3 linked regions of the Macaca mulatta genome follow. The protein of the gene in region 3 purifies or fractionates together with the protein of the main gene of each other region. This does not show direct contact. Links are inferred from orthologs where the notes say so. Each region holds a gene or a part of one and is shown on either strand. Other genes may lie near its edges.

Region 1 (2,816 bases), on a different chromosome or scaffold from region 3:
GGCGGCAGCAGCGGCCGGGCGGCGTCCCCGCATTGCGGCCGCCGGGCCCCCTCCGCGGGGACTGGGCCGAGCCTGGCGACCGAAGCCCCCAGGAACCCGGGGGCCAAGGCGCGCAGGGCGGGGGAGGGGCGGGGAGGGCCGGGCTGCCGCACCCGTCCGGGGCGGGGCTGCCTCCCTGCGCACCGGCCGCGGTGACTCAGCCCCGACCCGCCCGGGCCCGCCCGCGTCCCTTGTAGTTCTGGGAGGTGATCAGCGATGAGCACGGCATCGACCCCACGGGCACCTACCACGGGGACAGCGACCTGCAGCTGGAGCGCATCAACGTGTACTACAACGAGGCCACCGGTGAGGCCCCGGCCCTTTCCCCGACCGCCCTCCGGGGACCCCGCGGCCCCTGCCCTGGCTGATGCCCTCCCGTCCCCGCAGGCGGCAAGTACGTGCCCCGCGCCGTGCTCGTGGATCTGGAGCCCGGCACCATGGACTCCGTGCGCTCGGGGCCCTTCGGGCAGATCTTCCGGCCGGACAACTTCGTCTTCGGTGAGCTGCGGCTGGGGGCTGGGCGGCGGCTCAAAGGTCAAGGGGCTGCTCCAAGGGCACCTCCGTGGGAACTGCGCAGCCCGGGCCCCTGGACGCTCTTCTTTGAACCACTCAATCCCCTCTCCTAAATCGGCTTTGAGAGCAAGGTCCAGCTGTCTGCCGAGGCGAGGAGTCGCCACACACGTAATCTCCCTGCAGGGAGCTGAGCTGGGGGCAGTGGCTGTTGCTCTGTCCTTGGGAATTGGCAGTGGCCCCCCCCTCTCCGGGGAGGGGTTTGTTAAGCTCTCAGGTTTGGCTCTTGACTTAATCTGTAGCAGGGCAGGCTGCCGTCCTTTCACTTTGAGGGGTCTGTTTGGTCTACCTGCAGGGTGAATTCTGGGGTCAGCTCACACCATGTCACGAGGTCCTTTTCGCATGGTGGTGGTGACCAGTAGTGCTGTCTAGTTGGCTGATAAATGACTGTTTTCTCACAGGTCAGAGTGGTGCTGGGAACAACTGGGCCAAGGGGCACTACACAGAAGGCGCGGAGCTGGTGGACTCGGTGCTGGATGTTGTGAGGAAGGAGGCTGAGAGCTGTGACTGCCTGCAGGGATTCCAGCTGACCCACTCCCTGGGTGGGGGGACGGGGTCTGGGATGGGTACCCTCCTCATCAGCAAGATCCGGGAGGAGTACCCAGACAGGATCATGAACACGTTCAGTGTGGTGCCTTCGCCCAAGGTGTCAGACACAGTGGTGGAGCCCTACAACGCCACCCTCTCAGTCCACCAGCTCGTAGAAAACACAGACGAGACCTACTGCATTGATAACGAAGCTCTCTACGACATTTGCTTCAGAACCCTAAAGTTGACCACGCCCACCTATGGTGACCTGAACCACCTGGTGTCTGCTACCATGAGTGGGGTCACCACCTGCCTGCGCTTCCCGGGCCAGCTCAATGCTGACCTGCGGAAGCTGGCTGTGAACATGGTCCCATTCCCCCGCCTGCACTTCTTCATGCCCGGCTTTGCCCCGCTGACCAGCCGGGGCAGCCAGCAGTACCGGGCCCTGACCGTGCCCGAGCTCACCCAGCAGATGTTTGATGCCAAGAACATGATGGCTGCTTGTGACCCCCGCCATGGCCGCTACCTGACGGTTGCTGCCGTGTTCAGGGGCCGCATGTCCATGAAGGAGGTGGACGAGCAAATGCTTAATGTCCAAAACAAAAACAGCAGCTATTTTGTTGAGTGGATCCCCAACAATGTGAAAACAGCTGTCTGTGACATCCCGCCCCGGGGGCTAAAAATGTCCGCCACCTTCATCGGCAACAGCACGGCCATCCAGGAGCTGTTCAAGCGCATCTCCGAGCAGTTCACGGCCATGTTCCGGCGCAAGGCCTTCCTGCACTGGTACACGGGCGAGGGCATGGACGAGATGGAGTTCACCGAGGCTGAGAGCAACATGAACGACCTGGTGTCTGAGTACCAGCAGTACCAGGACGCCACGGCCGAGGAGGAGGGCGAGTTCGAGGAGGAGGCTGAGGAGGAGGTGGCCTAGAGCCTTCAGTCACCGGGGAAAGCAGAGAGGCAGTGCGAACTCTTTATTCCCTCCCAGCCTGTCCTGTGGCCTGTCCCGCTGTGTGTGCACTTCTGTTTTCCCTGTCCTCATCCCATGCTGTACAGACACCACCATTAAAGCATTTTCATAGTGTGCGGTTTCGCCTCGCCCATTCCTTCCAGTAGGCCCTCCGGGTGCTATTGCCGAATGTCAGTGCGTAGTTGTCCTGCATGGCTGCGGGGAGCCAGGCTGTAGGTGAGCTGGGCTTATGTACCCAGGGACCAGCATGGGCTGGACACCCAGGCTTCAGAGAAGTGTGCAGCTGCCCTGGGCCCTGGGGATCTGCTTGGTGGGGAACCTGCTTCTTGAAGGCAGGCCTGACCTGTTCTGGGTACCCAACCTTGGGGCCCATTGGCCTGTGTCTGGGACTTTAGCCCCCTTCCGAAAGGGGTAGGGAGGATGGCAGACAATCCTACCCCAACCAAGGTGGGACCCTGGTTGGTAACGGTGGTCAGACAGGTGGTCCTGAACCAGCAATGAAGGGTGGGCAGGTACAGCTGCCCCTCCCCACGTTGGCCAGGGTGTGTCCGTGTGACCCTTCCCGCCCTGTACTCACAGGGGATGAACCCCATGTAGAAGGGGATCAGGCCTTGGCTGCTGTAGATGTGGTTGCTGGGCCAGTGTGTTCCAGGCAGCTTCTCACCCAGGTCACAGTGGGGGTTTCTAAATAGGAACTGGGGAGACA
Region 2 (3,650 bases), on a different chromosome or scaffold from region 3:
TTTGGAGACAGGGTCTCGCTCTGTTGCTCAAACTGAAGTGCAGTGGCATGATCATGGCTTGCTGTGCCTCAACCTCTCACCTTAGCCTCTGGAGTGCACTATCATGCCTGGCTGGTTTTTTATGTTTTGTAGCAATGGGGTCCCACTATATTGCCCTGGCTGGTCTTGAATTCCTGAGCTCAAGCAGGCTACTGCTTTGGCCTCCTAAAGTGCTAAGATTACAAGTAGGAGCCACTGCACCCAGCCCTGACTGATTTTTAACACAATCTATTCTACTAAATTAAAATAACTACATTTTGCAAATATTGTCAAGGGGATTTATGCATGAACTTAGAAACTCAGTTCTCAACTACAATACAAAATGCATGTATCTACATCTACAATAAAAACAAAGCAAAACCAAGTAACTGAAAGAAATCATAAAATCAACACAAATCCACCAGTGGTCATTTTGTGCTGCCTTTAAGAGACGGCAAACAAGCTGCCTCTACAAATGTGTGATCGTATCGTCTACCAAAACGTACACTTTGGAGCCCAGCGTGGTTTTTGCTGTCTGAATCAGGGGTTCGGTGTCCTTTATGTCAACAAGGACGCTATCACTGATCTTGTCCAGGTGTTCAATAGCAACGCGGGCAGCCTGCTCATAGCCATCAGCTATTCTGATAGGGTGAATGCCTCGGTCTAGCAATTGCTCCGCTTCTTCTAACAAGGCACCAGCCAGGACTGCAAACAAACCAGCAGACAATCAGTTTAGGAAAACAACAAAACTTCACTTTTAGTATAATCAGCACAAGTTAGATGCTGTCATGGAAAGAAAAAGCTTCCAGAATTAAGCTGGAAGTCATCTTAGAGGCAGAAGCTATCTATTTTTAAAAGAAAGCCTCTTGTTTTGGTTCTAGCAAAGGTCTAATAGGACACATGTCCCCTTATAGACGAACATTCAACCCTCAGTGATGTAAACAATGTAACTAAAGAATATAATGTAAAAAGAACATTTTTCTAAGAGGTAAAAAGCTATTATGTTTCATGGGCCAAGGTCTATTCAGTGAAATTCATCCTGGTGATAAGACTAAAACATTTGTTTATTATTTATTCCCCCCACCCCCATCCTCCTTTCTCCTCATTTTAGGGTCACATAGATGAATTCTGTTTAAATCTACTGCTCTCCAAGCGCACTGAGAACAGTGCCTGGCATATAATGGTATCCAGTAAATATTTGCTGAATGAATGAATTCAAGTTTCATCTGCAGAAAAGAACTTTACTGATATTTTGTCTTCAATTTCCCCAACTTTTTAAAGATTTCAAATCTACAAAAAACAAGGTACAATACTAAAATGAGTACCAGTTTACTTATTAACATTTTGCCACATTTTCTCTACATGTACAAACTGTTTCTGTTCAGCTATTTGAGAATTAGTTGCAGAAACCATGACATGTTACTCCTAAGTATTGAGGCAAACAGCCGAGAATAAGGGTATTCTCCTACACATATGCAATACAGCGGTCACGCTCAGGAAACTCAGCATTGTAGTACATGATCCATAATCAAATTCCTCTACTTTTCCCAAACCTCCTTTAGAGCTTAAAAGACAAACAAAATCAGCGCCCAATCAATCATTACAGATTTCTCCTTGCCTAACAATCCCCAGGCCTCTTTCTATTCTTTTTTAACACTGTCAGTTTTGAAGGTCCCGGGCATTTGTTTTGTAGCGTGTTCTTCAACTTGGATTTGTCTGTCTCCTCAGGCTCTGATTCAGAGACAACAATCTCGGCAGGCATGTTAGCCCTGTAGTCTTAAATGACATCTCTTAAATGAGAAAGGAAGGATGTTTTGTCTTTTCTTACCAACCACTCCTGTGGTTCCATCTCCAATTTCATCATCCTGAGACTTGGACAGTTCCACCATCAGCTTGGCAATCTGATGATCAACATCCATCATGCTTAAGATGGTGGCCCCGTCATTAGTTACAGTCACATCGCCATCCTTATCCACCATCATCTTATCAAGCCCTAAAAAGACAACATTTAGTAGGCTTTGGGCAAACAACTGGCAACCAATATCACAAACTATAAAAAAAGACCTCTGCACCCAGCTCTTATCTATGCAATTTATTATATGCAAATATTTCAACATACACAAAATAATAGCTGCGTGAAGGCATTTTGAGATTGGCTAACACAAATGGCAAAAAATTATGGAGCATCATTAAGTATGGTATTAATCTCAAGACAACTATGATTTGGAAAATGCTAATGAAATGATATTAAACGTGTTAAAAAAAAAAAGGCCCGACCTAAAACTACACGCGATTATAACCATGTTTGAGAAACCTGAGATACACTACAAAATTTTCGCTGTGTTAAAGAAGTAAGATGCTGCCCTCAATACTCCACCTTTCTGTAGAGAGGTTTGTATTGACAGTTTTATGATTTAAATCTTTTGCTAAAAACATGGAATGGTGGACTCTTACCATTTGGTCCAAGTGACGTTCTCATTGTATTTGCTACAGCCTTTGCTGCCATTATATGAGACTAATGAAACAAACAGAAAAAGCAAACACTGTTACATACAATTTCAATGGTTAAAAGCACACATCTGATGATTAAAAATCACTTACGATTTAGTTTCTGTTTTCTAGAAGCTTCTACATTTAAGGGGCAACAGACAGGTCTAAGTATTATAACATTTATAACTCCAGCTTTAATAAGCAATTCTTATATAAAAGAAAAAGAACTCAGTGCTTTGTGTTATCTCACTGAATTTTCAACACATTAATGAGACAGATTCTTTTGCCAGCTCATTTACAGCTGAGAACAGGGACAGTATGACCATGACCTTACAGGCCTTGCAAGATCACTGTGAAACACAGTCATCCCTGAGCATCCATGGGGAACTGGTTCCAGGAGCCCCTGAGGACACCAAAATTTACAGATGCTCAAGTCCCTTGCATCCAGGCTTCTATATCTGTGGGTTCCACATCTGCAGATAAGAAGGGGCCTGTACTCATGAGAAACAGTCCAACTGTAAACATACAACACCTCATTGTCACACCATGATTTACTGGATTTACTGCAGAGTTATAATCTTTTGAGCTGGGTGCGGTGGCTAGAACCTGTAACCCCACCTACTTGGGAGGCTGAGGCAGGATTGCTTGAGGCCAGGAGTTTGAGATCAGCCTGGGAAACATGATGAGACCCCGTTACAAAATAAAAAGAAAAAATGTTCTTGCTTTAAAAATCTTCCTCCACCCACCTGAAATCCCAATAATTATATTTATAGATCAAAGTTAGTGACTGGCTTTTTTTTTTTTTTTTTTTTGAGACGGAGTCTTGCTCTGTTGCCCAGGCTGTAGTGCCGTGGCATGATCTTGGCTCACTGCAACCTCCGCCTCCCAGGCTTAAGCGACGCTCCTGCCTCAGCCCCCCAGTAGCTGGGATTACAGGCATGCGCCATCACACCTGGCTCTTTTTTTTTTTTTTTTTTGTACTTTTAGTAGAGACAGGATTTTGCCATGTTGGCCAGGCTGGTCTTGAACTCCTGACCTCAGGTGATCCACCCGCCTTGGCCGCCCAAAGTGTTGGGATTACAGGCGTGAGCCACCGTGCCCGGCCCGCAACTGGCCCTCTTAAGGAAGGTGAAGTAGCTGTC
Region 3 (3,650 bases):
TTCTGGAGTATGCATCAGGAGCCTGGACCTGGGTTCTGTCGAGGCAGCTGCTATAGGCCAGAAATGCTGGGGTGGGACCCTGAATCCTGTTTTATAAGCACCCAGGTAATATGATCTGGGGGTCCTATCTAAATAGGCACTGAGAGGCTCCATCCTCAGTCCTTCTCTGGGTAAGGGCTGTACCCTTACTTCTTTCTGGGGAAGTCCTGGGGAGCTGGACCATGGGGCATGATGAGTAAGCAATGGGCTGGGGAGAGCATCCAGGTCCCCACAAGGATCAGGATTTGGGGGGTCCCCAGGGAGTCCTTACCGCAGGGCACGCCCACTGATAGCCTGGGCATGGCGAGCAGCCACAGCCACGGAGTTGAAAAAGCAAAAACCGCAAGCTGCATCCTGCTCTGCGTGGTGTCCTGGGGGACGCACCACAGCAGCACCATTCAGAACCTAGGAAGCAGCAGGGTGCTAAGATCGGACAGCCTGCCCTCCAGCTCACCCTCACCTTCCTTTCTTCCTTCTTCTTTTTTTTTTCTCGCTCTGTCGCCCAGGCTGGAGTGCAGTGGTGCTATCTAGGCTCACTGCAAGCTCCGCCTCCCATGTTTACGTCATTCTCCTGCCTCAGTCTCCTGAGTAGCTGGGACTACAGGCGCCCACCGCCACGCCCGGCTAATTTTTTGTGTGTTTTTTAGTAGAGACAGGGTTTCACCGTGTTACCCAGGATGGTCTCGATCTCCTGACCTCTTGATCCGCCCGCCTCGGCCTCCCAAAGTGCTGGGATTACAGGCATGAGCCACCGTGCCCAACCTTTTTTTTTTTTTTTTTTTTTTGACACAGAGTCTCACTCTGTTGCCCAGGCTAGAGTGCAGTGGCACAATCATGGCTCACTGCAGCCTTGACCTCCTGAGCTCACCTCAGCTTCTCAAAGCACTAGGATTACAGATGTGAGCCACCGCACTTGGCCACCCTTCCCTTTCTCCAGTTCCTTCCATTATTACTGCAGCCTCTAGGCCCGCCCCCTCCTGTGCCCCTCCCCATGGCCCCTTTCCTCAGGCCCTGCTTGACTCTCTCAGAGCCTCCAGAAACAGCAGGTGGCCCTCTTTTTCTATTCTCCCCAGGTCCTCCTCTCCCCAGCCCAGAGGACACACCTCTCCCGAGAGCACAGCCTCCACCAGGCGGCAGGCAGCGCCAGTGGCAAGCTGTGCACAGGCGAAGGTACTGGGGCAGATGTAGATGGAGTCAAAGTTGGAACTCTCACGGTGCAGCTCCCGGGTTTTCATTTTCTCTGTGGCCCGGAGATGACCCACATACTCAGCACTGGAGGTACAGAGAGGCGCACCGGCAGGACAGTGAGGAGGGTCCATCCCCTCCCTGGAACCCACCCGCAAGACAGGAACTTCAGCCCCTCTCAAGTCCTGCAGCAGCTCCCTGGGAGGGGAAACCCAAGCTCCAGCTCCTGAGACCTCATCCACAGTCCTGGGAAGCCACCCACCCCAGGCACCAGGGTCTGACCTGTGGCAGGTGAGCAGCTCAGCCTCTGTGGCGGGGCGCGGTGTCAGGGTGAGGCAGCGCCCAGCAAGGCCCAGCTCCTCCAGACGGCACATGATCCGCAAGATGCGCTGTGGTACCTCAGGGTGGTGGCTAGCAGTGGGGAAATGAGAGGTAGGGGCTTAGTGCCTGATGGGGAGGGACCCCCAACACCTACTCATCCAGCCCTCCAAATGCCTACCTGTCCCACAAGTTGCAGTGATTCATCATACTTTGGTCATAGACCAGCCCTGTGCGAGACTGTAGCACTGGCCACGTCAGGATTGGGAGCACAGGGGGCTCCCAGGGTCCTTCCTCCTCATTCTCCTCTACATTGTCCTCCTCCATGTTGTCCCCCTCCACAGTCTCAGCTACAAGGGGGAGGCCACGTTTGTCCTACCCTCTCACTCTGAATCCCCGTCATACTCTGGAACTCAGGTGACCCCAAATAGAAAATGGGGTGGGAGGCCTGAAACCAGGGCCCAGGGAGAGAGAGGGCCTGACCCTCTACCTCCAAGGCAGCCCAGTAAAGTCAGAGAAAGTCCGAAGACAGTCTGCCCCAGGGCTCATCCCACGTCCACCCCACACCAGGCCCATACCCCACTTCCTACTTGATCTCACAAGAACCTCCCAGAAGGGCTCAAGGGCTTCCAGAGCACAGGAGACTGAAGCCTGGGCACTGCAGGGCAGGGCAGGGAGAAAATATGAGGTCAAGGAATGTGGGCAGGCAGTGAGGCTCCCGCTTTCCCCTCCTCCACTGGGGCTCACCTCCGGCAGGGGGCACCAGGTGACTCCAGCATGGGGCAAGGGTCTCCCAGAAGGGTGTGGAGCGAAGCACTGACACCTTCAGCCAGGGCGCGGAGGTTGTAGCCACCCTGGGGCAAGGAGTTGTGAAGGGGGATCAGGAAAGGACCAGACATGACCAGGGAATAACAATAATGATGATAATAATAAGAGAGTGCATACCAAATGTCAAGCAACAAGGAACTTAGAAGGGGGCCTCATTGAATTCACTGGACAATGATATGAGGTGATTACCATTATTATGCTCGTTTTACAGAAGGAAAGCGGAGGCACAAAGAAGTGAAGTGACTTATGCAAGGTTGTCCAGCTAGTAAGTGAAATGCTGGGCCAGGAACTCCTTTTGGACTTGAAAGCTTCGTTCTTAAGCCCTCCAGGATCCACAGGCTGAGGGACGAAGGTGAGTCACTCACCTCCAGAGACAGTATCAGCTTGCCTCCTGCCAGACCCATGAGCAGGTGGGTTAGCTGGGCGAACCCTGCCGGAGTGGCGGCCATCTCACCCTGGGGGGACATGGAGGGTCAGTCTGGCTCCGTGCAGCCCATCTGCCGCCCCAGGGAGCCTGCCTTACCTTGGGGTCCCCTTGCAGGGCATCAAATCCAGCAGCCACCAGGACCAGCTGAGGCTGGAACTGAAGGAGGAACAGACTCCATGAGGCTACCTGCCCTCACGGCCTAACCTTCAAGGCCACTCCTCTCCCCCAACACACCCCAGACCCCCAGGACCTCGAGGGCGACTGGCAGCAGGACGTGCAAGAAAGCAGCAATGTAGTCAGCATCCCGCATCCCCACCTGCAGACACAGGAGTGTAGTGGGGGATGTTCAGCCACCTGTCCCGAGCTGCTGACAGAAGGGCAGGGCTGGGCCTCACTTTGGGGACAAAGGGTGGGTGGATGCTGACCTGGTTCCAAGGCACATTGATGGTATATCCTTGGCCTTGGCCGAAACCTGTGGTGGACCAGTTAGAGGCCTTCAGGTGGGGCCAGAACCTACCCTGCTCATAGCGGTGGATGGAGAAATAGAGGACACTGGGGGCAGAAGAAAAAGAGGTAAGAGAGTTGGAGAAGAGTCAATCCCCATAGACACTCCCAACCCAACAGTTGCCAGTTTCCTCTACCACTCATTTCCCCATTCAACCACTCGTTCATTCTCTCATTCATTAATTTCCCCATTAATTATTTAATCTATGAATCCATTCTTCCATTAATTTATCCTTACATTCAGTCACCAATTTAATTATCTTACCATTCATCCATTCTTATCTTTATTTATCCATTACCTCACTCACTCATTCATTTAGTCTCTCACTAGAACCTCTTCCTCAGCAAA

Evidence for each region.
Region 1: the proteins of HDAC6 (region 3) and TUBB4B purify together in Homo sapiens (affinity purification with mass spectrometry, with the first as the bait; 4 studies listed by BioGRID). This does not show direct contact. The link is inferred for Macaca mulatta from reciprocal best matches to the Homo sapiens genes HDAC6 and TUBB4B.
Region 2: the proteins of HDAC6 (region 3) and CCT5 purify together in Homo sapiens (affinity purification with mass spectrometry, with the first as the bait; 3 studies listed by BioGRID). This does not show direct contact. The link is inferred for Macaca mulatta from reciprocal best matches to the Homo sapiens genes HDAC6 and CCT5.

What each region holds. Positions count from the first base shown.
Region 1 is NC_133420.1:5,210,443-5,213,258, reverse strand, and holds the end of TUBB4B (tubulin beta-4B chain), read left to right. Parts: intron 1-236; coding exon 237-345; intron 346-426; coding exon 427-537; intron 538-1,009; exon of another isoform or gene 1,010-1,010; coding exon 1,011-2,071; 3' UTR 2,072-2,216; downstream 2,217-2,816. Other genes in the region: CIMIP2A (ciliary microtubule inner protein 2A), read right to left, coding at 2,217-2,305, 2,688-2,805. UniProt on the Homo sapiens protein: Tubulin is the major constituent of microtubules, a cylinder consisting of laterally associated linear protofilaments composed of alpha- and beta-tubulin heterodimers.
Region 2 is NC_133411.1:11,400,156-11,403,805, reverse strand, and holds part of CCT5 (T-complex protein 1 subunit epsilon), read right to left. Parts: intron 2,534-3,650; coding exon 2,473-2,533; intron 2,012-2,472; coding exon 1,847-2,011; intron 724-1,846; coding exon 525-723; intron 1-524. UniProt on the Homo sapiens protein: Component of the chaperonin-containing T-complex (TRiC), a molecular chaperone complex that assists the folding of actin, tubulin and other proteins upon ATP hydrolysis.
Region 3 is NC_133426.1:48,893,651-48,897,300, reverse strand, and holds part of HDAC6 (protein deacetylase HDAC6), read right to left. Parts: intron 3,350-3,650; coding exon 3,223-3,349; intron 3,114-3,222; coding exon 3,048-3,113; intron 2,954-3,047; coding exon 2,894-2,953; coding exon of another isoform or gene 2,885-2,893; intron 2,826-2,884; coding exon 2,736-2,825; intron 2,397-2,735; coding exon 2,290-2,396; intron 2,201-2,289; coding exon 2,133-2,200; coding exon of another isoform or gene 2,121-2,132; intron 1,893-2,120; coding exon 1,724-1,892; intron 1,636-1,723; coding exon 1,507-1,635; intron 1,312-1,506; coding exon 1,143-1,311; intron 445-1,142; coding exon 311-444; intron 1-310.